Linked DNA regions of Cricetulus griseus. The main gene of each other region encodes a partner of the protein of the gene in region 3 in a complex. Links are inferred from orthologs where the notes say so. Each region holds a gene or a part of one and is shown on either strand. Other genes may lie near its edges.

Evidence for each region.
Region 1: the proteins of Gnai1 (region 3) and Gpr183 are in contact, whole or in part, in a cryo-EM structure (PDB 7TUZ), measured with the Homo sapiens proteins. The link is inferred for Cricetulus griseus from reciprocal best matches to the Homo sapiens genes GNAI1 and GPR183. Residues at the interface, in NP_002060.4 of Homo sapiens: Arg24, Glu28, Arg32, Glu318, Tyr320, Phe334, Asp337, Ala338, Thr340, Asp341, Ile344, Asn347, Leu348, Asp350, Cys351, Gly352, Leu353, Phe354; in NP_004942.1 of Homo sapiens: Asn64, Thr66, Arg129, Ala132, Val133, Pro136, Leu137, Asn140, Lys141, Arg144, Ile219, Lys222, Leu223, Thr226, Asn230, Pro231, Leu232, Thr233, Ser236, Val238, Lys241, Ala242, Thr245, Ile246, Ile249, Ala311, Cys312, Lys313.
Region 2: the proteins of Gnai1 (region 3) and Ffar2 are in contact, whole or in part, in a cryo-EM structure (PDB 9NS9), measured with the Homo sapiens proteins. The link is inferred for Cricetulus griseus from reciprocal best matches to the Homo sapiens genes GNAI1 and FFAR2. Residues at the interface, in NP_002060.4 of Homo sapiens: Glu28, Ala31, Arg32, Glu33, Val34, Asp193, Leu194, Phe336, Thr340, Asp341, Ile343, Ile344, Lys345, Asn347, Leu348, Asp350, Cys351, Gly352, Leu353, Phe354; in NP_001357016.1 of Homo sapiens: Gln40, Ala42, Val44, His45, Glu106, Arg107, Gly110, Val111, Pro114, Val115, Tyr117, Lys118, Leu119, Ser120, Arg121, Arg122, Phe202, Met206, Gln209, Pro210, Leu211, Val212, Arg216, Arg219, Ala220, Leu223, Ala224, Phe273, Ser276, Ser277.

The regions. Positions count from the first base shown.
Region 1 is NW_023276807.1:271,866,192-271,869,417, forward strand, and holds Gpr183 (G-protein coupled receptor 183), read right to left. Parts: upstream 1,754-3,226; 5' UTR 1,730-1,753; coding exon 656-1,729; 3' UTR 506-655; downstream 1-505. UniProt on the Homo sapiens protein: G-protein coupled receptor expressed in lymphocytes that acts as a chemotactic receptor for B-cells, T-cells, splenic dendritic cells, monocytes/macrophages and astrocytes.
Region 2 is NC_048602.1:4,970,104-4,972,885, reverse strand, and holds Ffar2 (free fatty acid receptor 2), read right to left. Parts: upstream 1,499-2,782; coding exon 506-1,498; downstream 1-505. UniProt on the Homo sapiens protein: G protein-coupled receptor that is activated by a major product of dietary fiber digestion, the short chain fatty acids (SCFAs), and that plays a role in the regulation of whole-body energy homeostasis and in intestinal immunity.
Region 3 is NW_023276806.1:175,872,793-175,876,736, reverse strand, and holds the start of Gnai1 (guanine nucleotide-binding protein G(i) subunit alpha-1), read right to left. Parts: upstream 2,807-3,944; coding exon 2,689-2,806; intron 1-2,688. UniProt on the Homo sapiens protein: Guanine nucleotide-binding proteins (G proteins) function as transducers downstream of G protein-coupled receptors (GPCRs) in numerous signaling cascades.

The DNA.
Region 1 (3,226 bases), on a different chromosome or scaffold from region 3:
TTGTGAGCAGTGGTCCACAAGTGCTGCCCTGGTTATGGGGGGAAGAGGGTGACGCTTTCAGTTACTCGGTCATTCCTAGCACTTCCTGCTTTTCAGATCCACCTCTTGTCAATCATGCCTGTCACTTCTGCTGGCAGTGGGCAGTAGTATATTAACACTTTAGTTACATCCTGTTTTTTATCCCACAAAATATTCCTTAAACAGTTGTCTCAGAACAAAACAGACATACAGATAAAAACTAGGGAGGTAAAATCTAAATTTGAAAGAGATGTAAATTAAGACATATGTTCCCTATATTACAGTATTAACATTTTTTTTACACTGGTAATGTATAGTGGAATCAGCCTTTTATCTCTTGCCAAACTATTGGCAGAAATTGTAATGGTTGTGTTCTCAGGAACACAGAACAACTCTTTGCCTCGAGACTTATCAAGACAGCCTTCTTTAAACACACAGCATCTCATTTATGAAGTAGAACTTGCTTTTGCCGTTCTCTTGAGCTGGTCCGGATCTCAGTGCATCAGGTGGGGGGGTGGGGGGGTGGGGGTCGTGCCAAGAGGGGGCACCTGAGAGGAATCCTTGTTGGGAACTGAACAGTGGGTCTGCAGAGCCACCAAGCGGGTTGCTGTGCTGTGAAGTCCGGTGCCGCGATCTTTCACCTTCCATTGGAAGCCTTGGAGTGAATCATCACCTGGGACTCCGTCATTTCTCGCGAGTTTTCTTCAGGGGCTGACCTCACGGCACTGGAGAGGGACACGCTGACCTGCCGTTTCAGCATCTTCATGACCTTCCTCTTGTACCCTTTGCACGCAAACAAGTATATGAAAGGATCCATGCAGCAGTTGAAGTTCATGAGGCACACTGTGACGTGCAGAGAGACCTGGAAGGAGTGCCTCGGGCCGCACGCCAGGGCACCGCGGGAGCACAGCTTCTTAACCATGTGTTGGATGATGGATATGTGGTAAGGTGTGAAGCAGAGAATGAACACAACAATGATGAGGATAATGGTGTTGAGAGCCTTTCTGTTCACACCAGACTTGTCAGTCAGTGGGTTTTGTTTGGCCGTCTTGAAGAGCTTGCAGCAGATCCGCGAGTAGCAGACGAGAATGACTGTGAGGGGCAGCGCGTAGCCAAGCAGGCATGCTCCAAGGAGAATCCAGGGGAGGGAAGCTGTCTCTTCGAAGTTCGGGTACTCCATGCAGGTCGTCCTGCTGGCCTCCTGCTTTGACATAGGTCTGATGAGCAGAGGCAGGGTTTGAGCAAATACTAGAATCCAGACAGATATGCAAACGCCCTTTGCGTATTCGATCCTTTTAATCTTGTTGTAGCGCAGAGGGTGCACCACGGCAAAGAAGCGGTCTACGCTCAGGCAGGTCATGAAGTTGACGCCGGCATACGTGTTTATGTAGAACAGCAGGGCAGTTATCCGGCACAGGGCATCACCGACCCTCCAGTCAAAACCCAGCGCATAGTAGGCTATCCGAGTGGGTAAAGCTGTGGTAAACAGGATGTCGGAAATCACCAAGTTCATTGAATAGAGAGTGGTTGAGTTGATTTTCTTTCTGTTTTGAACAATGACAACCAAGGCCAACAGGTTTCCCACCAGACCAATGATGAAGACGAGGCTGTAGTGCAAAGGCATTAATATCCTGGCTGTGTTGTGGTGTGCATAGAGGTCACAGTTGTTGCCCTGAGAAGTTGCCAGGGCCGTAGTAAAATTGCTAGCCATTTCTGTATCCAGCAGGGGTCAGAGTCACTAGGAAGAAATCAAGTAGGGACTGTTTAGCTAAAACTATTTAACTCAGCTACTCAGTCATTTATACGTCTACTTTAAAATTTTTCAGCATGTAAATCTCAACTGGAATAAACTGAGGAAAAAAATTTTGTGTTTACTTTCACAGTTAGTGGCTTTGTCAAAACCCTGGCAAAGGAAACAGAACCATCTAAATAGGTCAACTGCATTTTTTTTTTTAAGAGAAGTACACTAACTTTAGGCAGAAATCCCCCCTTTTCTGAATCACTGTGTGGTTAAGAATAAAATCATGTAAAGTACCCACATTTTAGACAGGCATTAAACTTGCCTTTTAGGTTGAATTTAGGTTGAGCTTTTCTTCTTCTTCTTCTTCTTCTTCCAAAATTCGTATCACTGCCAGGAAATGAAATCAGTGGCACATGGAGTGGAGTATGAACTCACCACAGTATCTGATTTGTGTGAGCCTGACGAGTGTGAGAAATAATCTTGGGCTCTGTAGGAACTGAAAGTTACTCTTTCTTAAGAAAGAAAATGAAAAACAAATAGTGCTCATAACTAAAATGAAAAAGAAGAAGAAAGACAAACGTAGTTGTGCGTAGCTGTGATGCAGCTACTCTGGAGACTGATGAGTTTGAGGGCAGCTGGGCATCTCTGTGAGACCCTTTCTCAAAATGAAAAGCAAAAGTCAAGTTTAAAGGGGCTGTGGGTGCAGCTCAGCAGTAGTTGTCCCTTCTTTCAGGAGTGTGATTGGTGGGGGGTGGGGGGGGACTCAAGCAGCTTCAGATAAGAAATTTTAAATTGGGCGTCCAGTGTGTGTTGAACCCAGTAAGAGTAACATCTCCTTAGCAGTGTATAGTCACCTGTTTTTCCATGTCTGGGTTTCATGGGGCATCTGATGGTTACGCCACAGTTTTCCAAAGTGTTGATTCGGTATTCTTCAGTTTCCCAATGTACTAATGCAGTTTAGCTAGCTACTCCTTCGGCACACATTTGAGTTGTTTAAATTTTTTCCTTGGTCATGAATTTAGGATCAAGGAAATTTCAAGTGCTAAATTGGAAATCTAAGAATTATGGCAGTAAAATTCCATATAAAAGAGTGAGCAGCAGTAAACATGGAAAAGCTGAGCAATAAGTACCATGATGACACTTTAAAAAAAAAAAAAAAAAAAACACAAGGCAGTCACCAGAATTAAGGGAATCTTTGACACGTCTGTTTTGCTGCTGCTGTTTTAAAGAGAAGCCCTCTGTCAAGACTGACAGAGAGCACTGGCTCCAGACCGGCTCCTGTGCCTATGCTGCTTGGTGCCCTGGGTCTCTGTCCCCTCTGCCAGCCTGAGAAGAGGGGTGTCTACTGGCCCTGAGCTCTGCTGTGGTGTGTGGTGTTGGGAAGCCTACAAGTAAAACCTAAAGCAGAACCCAACAGTGGGACGAAGCACCTTGTCTCACAAGACCAGAGAAGAAGCTGACAGAGGG
Region 2 (2,782 bases), on a different chromosome or scaffold from region 3:
CATGTGACAATCAACAGAGCTCATTACAAAGGGACAGCTCAAACGCCTATAGAGAGACCAAGCTCACCAGAGATCGGAGCCCCTGTCCTTCCTACTAGTCCCACCCGTGGCGGCTCAGAGGAGCCTTTCTGGGGTTTCTTTTCTTCCTACAGCTTCCCCCCCAATCTTTTTCCATAGGCTTCTGTGCAGCGTGGCCAGCCAGACCACTGTCTCTGGGCGGTGCTTCCAAGCTCGAAGGACGATTGCTTATAAAACTGCCCTCCTGTTAGCCACCTTGCTTCTGAGACCCTGGCCCCACCGTCTTTTAGGGCTGTAGCCATTTCTTCTCGTATCCTGGAGCAGGAAAATCCAGCCAAGCAGTTATGCAAGCTGAAGAGGGTGGCGGGGCGGGGTTTCTTGTTTATTTTATTTTTTTAATCTTCCACCGAGTTCCAGGTGTTCTGCTAGCCAGCCCAACAGAATTCTGGGTGACCCGGAGGCTAAGGAAGATGAGGCCCAACTCTCTCTACTCAGTGACGAAATCAGAGCTGGGCACCACCTCTGTTTGACTCCCACCCCTGTCCATCCTGGTCCCCTCCACGGTCTCTTTAGCTCCTCTGGCCAGCAGCGAGGAGCCGGGGTTGCGCAACAGTAGCCAACCTTTCCCGAACGCTCTGCGCACCACGGAGGAGGAGAAATAGAAGAGCAGCGGGTCCAGGCTGGCATTGAGGGAGCTGAACACCACAGCCTCCACCCGCCACGGGGGGCTCTGCCGCAAGTAGAACCCCACCAGGTGGGACAAGTTGTAAGGTCCGAAGCACACCAGAAAGTTAAGAAGCGTCACCACAGCCAGGCCTACTGCCCGGCGTCTCCTCTGAACCCCTACGTGGGGCTGCGTGAGCATAATCCACACGAAGCGCCAGTAGCAGAAGACGGTGACTGCCATGGGGACGAAGAAGAGGACCAGGCACAGCTCCAGCCGCACAGGCAGCACTATATCCAGCTGCTTTTGGGTGAAATTCTCATAGCACGTTACTTGGTTGCCGTCGCCCACCGGCTCGGTTGAGTTCAGGTACTGTACGATGATGACGATGGTACAGTGGCCGAAGGACATGATCCAGGCCACCAGGGCAGCAATCACGCCATACAGGGGCCGGCGGGAGAGCTTGTACTGCACGGGGAAGGCCACTCCCAGGTACCGCTCCACGCTGATGCCGGCCAGCAGCCACGTGCTGCAGTAGATGCTGCTGTAGAAGCCGAAGCCTGTGAGCGCGCACACGATCTTTGGCAGGTACCAGCGAAAGTTAGACGCCGCTTCCACAATGCGGAAGGGCAGCAGCAGCAACAGGAGCAAGTCGGCCAGGGTCAGATTAAGCAGGAGGATGTGCACGGGAGCCGGCTGGGGCTGGCGGACCCGGCTCACGAAGGCCCGCAGGGCCAGCAGGTTGGCAGGGAGCCCAGTGAGAAAGATGAGAATGTAGGCGGTGAGAATCAAGGAGCTGTGCCAGTCTGGGGTCATCCTGGAAGAGGATGGGAAAGGGGTCAGGAACTGCCCACCTTCACTCGCAGCCTGCAGAAGCTCCTTCCTCTGTCTGGCTCGGACTTGCTCACATCCTCTTTGGTCCCCAGGCCAAAGCTGTCTGCGCCTCACCACGGCTTGCCAGAGCCACCTGCCAGAACTGCCCAGAGCAATTATTGACTTAGCCTTGGGCGGGATATTAAGCCGCAGTTATTACGTTTGCCATCCTGTGTCTCTGGGGGAGACCAACTCGACTTCCCACGGGAATTCCCCCTCCGCTTTCCGCGGCCCTTTTCCTATTTAGCGTCACAGATAATAGGAAGTAGCTGTGGTCAGGTCCCTTTCTCACAGCTGGCTGTGGCTGAGAGCCAAAGCCTGGTGGCAAAGCCTGGTGGGAGAAGGAGGCAGGCATAGAAACTAGGAAAGGACGGGAGGTGTGTCTTGAGGGGGGGGAGAAACTTCCAGAAGGCATGCCCTGCCAACCCTGGGCTGGCTCTCCTCAGCTCCAGGTGCCCACCCCACCCCACCCCGCCTCAGCACCTTACCTCCTTGGGCCGACTTGAAGGTCTCTTTCACCTGGTTCTCCTCTGCACCAGTGCTGGGGATCCTACCAAAAAGGGGGAAGCTAGGGTAGCCAAAGAGGAAGACTTAGCCAGCACCTTGCTTTGTGGCCTGTTCCTCCCAGATTTCAGACACACATTCACCGAAGCCCAGAGAGAGCGCAAGCGTCTCCTGAGCCTGGTGTTTTTAGCTGGAAACAGAACTCCACCTCTACCCAGGTTCTCACTTGGTTGGTAACCTTTGCTAACTCAAATTCTCTCCATCATTCCTTCTTCATTCCCAGGTCCGAGGTTCCTCCCCGTCTCCCCGCCCACCCTCAACATCTGGGTCATTACTTTCTTGTTTCGACAGCCATCCTCCAGCCTCTGCCTTACCCGACACCTGCTCCTCAAATGCAAGCCCCAGCTCTGCTTTTCCCCTGACTGACTGCACACGGTAAACTGGCTGGCCTGGCCTGGCTGCTGATAGAGGGCTCCTCGTGGGGTTCCTGGCGCAAGAGGCCAACGGACTTTTAGCAATTGCTGCAGCCCTAGCAGAAAAGGGCGGGGGAGTCCAAAACTGTAAGGAACCTGGTTGGTGGGAAACTGTTACACCAGCGTGGGTCACATGGCCAGAGAGAGGCAGGTCAGTAATTGAGCAGTATTTCCTCTCAAACCCGAAAGGGGGTGGGGTGGGGGTGCTGCGGCTCTACCCACTCCCTGGAGATCTGCTCTATTCTGACTT
Region 3 (3,944 bases):
ATACAGTCATTTGTGCAAGACTCTTAACTGATTCAAATGCTACGGGATTAAAAAGAAAAGTGAAAGACTAAATGAACCAAACTCCAACCTGATCCCCTTCAGGTCAGTAGACCAGACTTGGTTCTCCCTATTTGCTTAAGCCTAATTCACTGTATTTAAGGAACAGTGGAATACCTATAATTTATATAGTAAATATTAGACATCCAGCACTCAAATAATTACTAATCATTTCCAAATCTCATTCAAAACTCTAACTTCAGATGTTTTAAACAGTGTATTCTTCCATGAAAAAAAAATGAAATGTAACCAGACAGACAGACTATTAAATTTTTTTATGCTTTAAGTATTTAAAGTAAATTGTTGGGGAAAAATCCCTCTAAAAAAATTGAAGTGGCATTGGTTACAGGTTACCTAGATACATTTTACATCTCTCTTAACCAGCTTCCACATGTTAGATGTTAGATGAGCAATGCCATGGAGCTACTTGCACAAAGCCTGAAATATCCAAAGTGGATCAAAGGTCAGAATTCACTACTTAATTCTGATGGGGGCAAGCAGGGGAAGATATATCAAGTATTATAAGAAATAAGAGTTGTGAAATAAGTACACCAGATTTGTTGTTGTTGTTGTTGTTTAATAGGGACTAGTGTGTCAGAAGTCTTGGTAAAGTCTAGAAGTAGAAGGGTAGAAGTGAGCGAGAAGAAAGGGATGCACTGGAATTGTAGAGAGAAGAGACAGTTGTGGGGGAAAGCAAATACTCAAAGCTAGAAACAACACTTAAGGAACCGATTTGCCTTTTGTTTGTCTGTTTGTTTTTATCATTTTCGAATACCTCTAATGCATTGGTTTGGAGGAATAAGAATGGCATAGTTTCTGAAAATCGGGACTCTGGTACATTTCTCATTACCTCTCTATAGAGGATTAGAGAGATCAACCGTCTATGTTACACACTCAACTCTGTGGTTCTCAGCCACATCTCACTCTGCATGTCTGCCTCCAGGGGGCGTGTGGGAGCAGGGTGGGAGATTAGAACCGTGGGGAAGCCATTAGCATCTAATGGTAGGAAGGCAACAACATTGCTTGACAGCCTACAGCACACAGTACACCCGGAACGACCAAGAATTATCAAGCTCAAAATGTCAACAATGCTAAGAAGAGATACCATGCTCTCTGAACCCTGAAGAAGCAAAAATCCGACTTCGCAAACCTTTCATAGCTGTCTACTTAAAGATAAGCCACACCAAAGGGAGCTCATTTACAACTGCTTTCAATATGGTGGATAGCAGCTCCAACGAAGAACTACACTGCAGTCCACTAAGATATTCAGAGCAGGTGCACTGAAACCACAGGAAAAGAATCCTCTAATTATTTTATTTCATGTTTATTCTAAGTCACCCAACGGGGCTCTCTACATGGTTCGGTATCAAGTTGTCTTTCTTCTGTGGTCAATATTCTTAAAAACACACTGACCTTATGAAAACACAGTATCTTTTTAATACAAAAACTCAGGTCAATCCTATTTACAGAGAAAGATTTATGGGGGAGGCTGTGGAGGGTGAAAAAATACCACCCAGCTCTTTAAAATGCTAAGTTATTTCACAGTTTGCTTGCAAAATGACTCAGATCGTTATTACTTTTAGTCATGCCAAGTTTGCTTCTTCTAAGCCTACTAGTAAAGGAGAAAGAAGGAGATAACCACCATGTTCCTGCAGTCGTTAAACCAATGAAACAGGAGCTTACTAAAAAGCAGATTTGTGCCTTACTGTCTCTCTTCTATCACAACTATTAGAAAAAGACAAGCCATCGCTGGAAGTGCAAACAAAGATTCTAAGAAATCTGTCATCTACCTAAATACCTAGAGTGTGGGAGGAAAACAAACAAAAGGAAAGCCTGATTCACAAATCTGAAAGTCATAACCTGTGAATATTTTCCTAATATATCACTCAATCAAAATCCAGATTTACTCCTTTTCTCCCGTTCAAAAAAAAAAAAAAAATTGGAAGAAAGACCTCCACATCAGCGTTCAGCAAAACAGTGTTAAGAATGACTAAAAAAGCCTGCCTTGCTCCTGTCAACCCTCCCTGGAGCAAGCGCTGCGGTTAAGAGAGGACCCCGGAGGGGAGGATGAGCCCCTCACACCTGTCAGGGCTGTTTGCACCCGCGAAGCATCTTCGGCTCCTACTATGGGAGCCAACGTAAGCCAACTTTGGTAGTTTCCATCCCCCACCCAGGCAAAACCCAGTATCCAGAGCAGCTCTTGTCCTTGCGCAGGAGAATCTGCTGGGCGCTCTTTGCCACTCAGTGAGTGGACATATGAAGTTGACAGGCGAGACCACTGAGACCCCACAGAGGCCACACAAAAGGCTCCCCGAGGCCACCCAAGAAGGCACTTTGCCGGCGTGGGCAAAGGCCAGCGCGGCACGACACCTCGCACCGCGGGGTGTCTGTGGAGAGGGGGCGCCTGGCTTTCGGGTTCCCAATCGTCCCTCATCTAGGGAAGGCGGACCTCAACTTCACAGACAGGGTTCCCACGCCTTCCGCCGCCCAGCCACGCTCTGGGCTGCCCGTGGGGTCGCGCGACCATCACCGCCGTGGCCGAGCAGCAGCCTGCGCTGCGCAGGGGCTGGGATGCTGCGCTCGCTCCCCGCTGTCCCCCGGCCCGGGCCCCGTCCCCGGGGCGCCGCTCACCCAGCAGCAGCAGCTTGACCTCCCGCGCCGCCTTCTCCCCGTCCTCCCGGAGGTTGCGGTCGATCATCTTGCTGCGCTCCACGGCCGCCTTATCCTCGGCGCTCAGGGTGCAGCCCATGGTGGCCGAGCGTCGCCGCGCCCTCGGCGCCGGGGCCGGCTGGCAGCGCGGGGAGACGCTGGCCCGGAGGCGGCCCTGCTATGTTCTCAGCTCCCGCGAGCCGGAGGCGAGGTCTGCGAGCCCGCACGCCGCCGCCTCGGGCGGCCGTCCCCGCCGGCCACGCTCCGGGATCCGCACCTGCCGCCGCCGCTGCCGCCGCCGCCGCCGCCGCTGCCGGTGCTGGCCGAGCCGCAGCAGCTCCCAGCCCGGGCGAGCTCCGCGTCCGCGCGCCGCCGCGGCCCCGCCCCTGCCCGCCCCGCGACCACTCCCAGTGCGCGCACCCGCCCGCCCGCCGGGCCTCCCGCGCACGTGCCCTCGGACAGCGCCCCCTCCGACGGCCGCGCGCCCGCGTGATCGCCGCCCCGGGTGCTCCCTGCGCGTGCCCCCGAGGTCTCCCCCCCCCCAACCCCTCAGCGCGCGCTCGCTTGCACGCCTCTTCAGCCAGAGTCCAGTGCCATCCCCATTTCCCCTTCTTGAGACCCCACTGCGGGCATCAGTGCATACCTGTCCCTTAGGGGTGTGGGTGGGACGGTTGCCAAAGTTGCCAGCGAGAAGGGAAAGGCAGTCCAGGGCATTTGAGCATGCCCGGCGCCTGCAGCCAAGCAGGGGTTTGCAAAATGTGTGGGCTTGTGTGAAGAAGCGTGGGAAACAGAGCGAAATGAGCACGGGGCCTTGGACAACCCGAGGTGGGGACCATCAGTAACCAAGCAGGAATCGTGGAGGGGGAAGTCTTGGCTCTATCCATGTGCACTTCCTCCCTACCACTTCCTTATTTTCCTCTAGCTTTCCCTTTGATCTGTGCTCTCCTTCCTTTTCATGAGGGAATGTATTTGGAAGGATTTCTTCCTAACCCGAGAAAACGTTTGACAAAGAACGAAAGAATGTGTTTTTATAAAGAAAGCGCAATAGACACATGAACAAGTCTCTGTGGTAATGGATGCCTTTAGGGCTCGTGTAAGTTCCTAGCCAAGCTGTGTTTGCGACCCTGTGATGACTCCTGTGCCAGTGGGCATGTCTTTCCTTTCTGCAGGCCTTAGCTTCCTTGCTGGTAAATGAGCAGTTGTTAAACACTAGAGTCCATCCTTCCATGCCCAGGCCT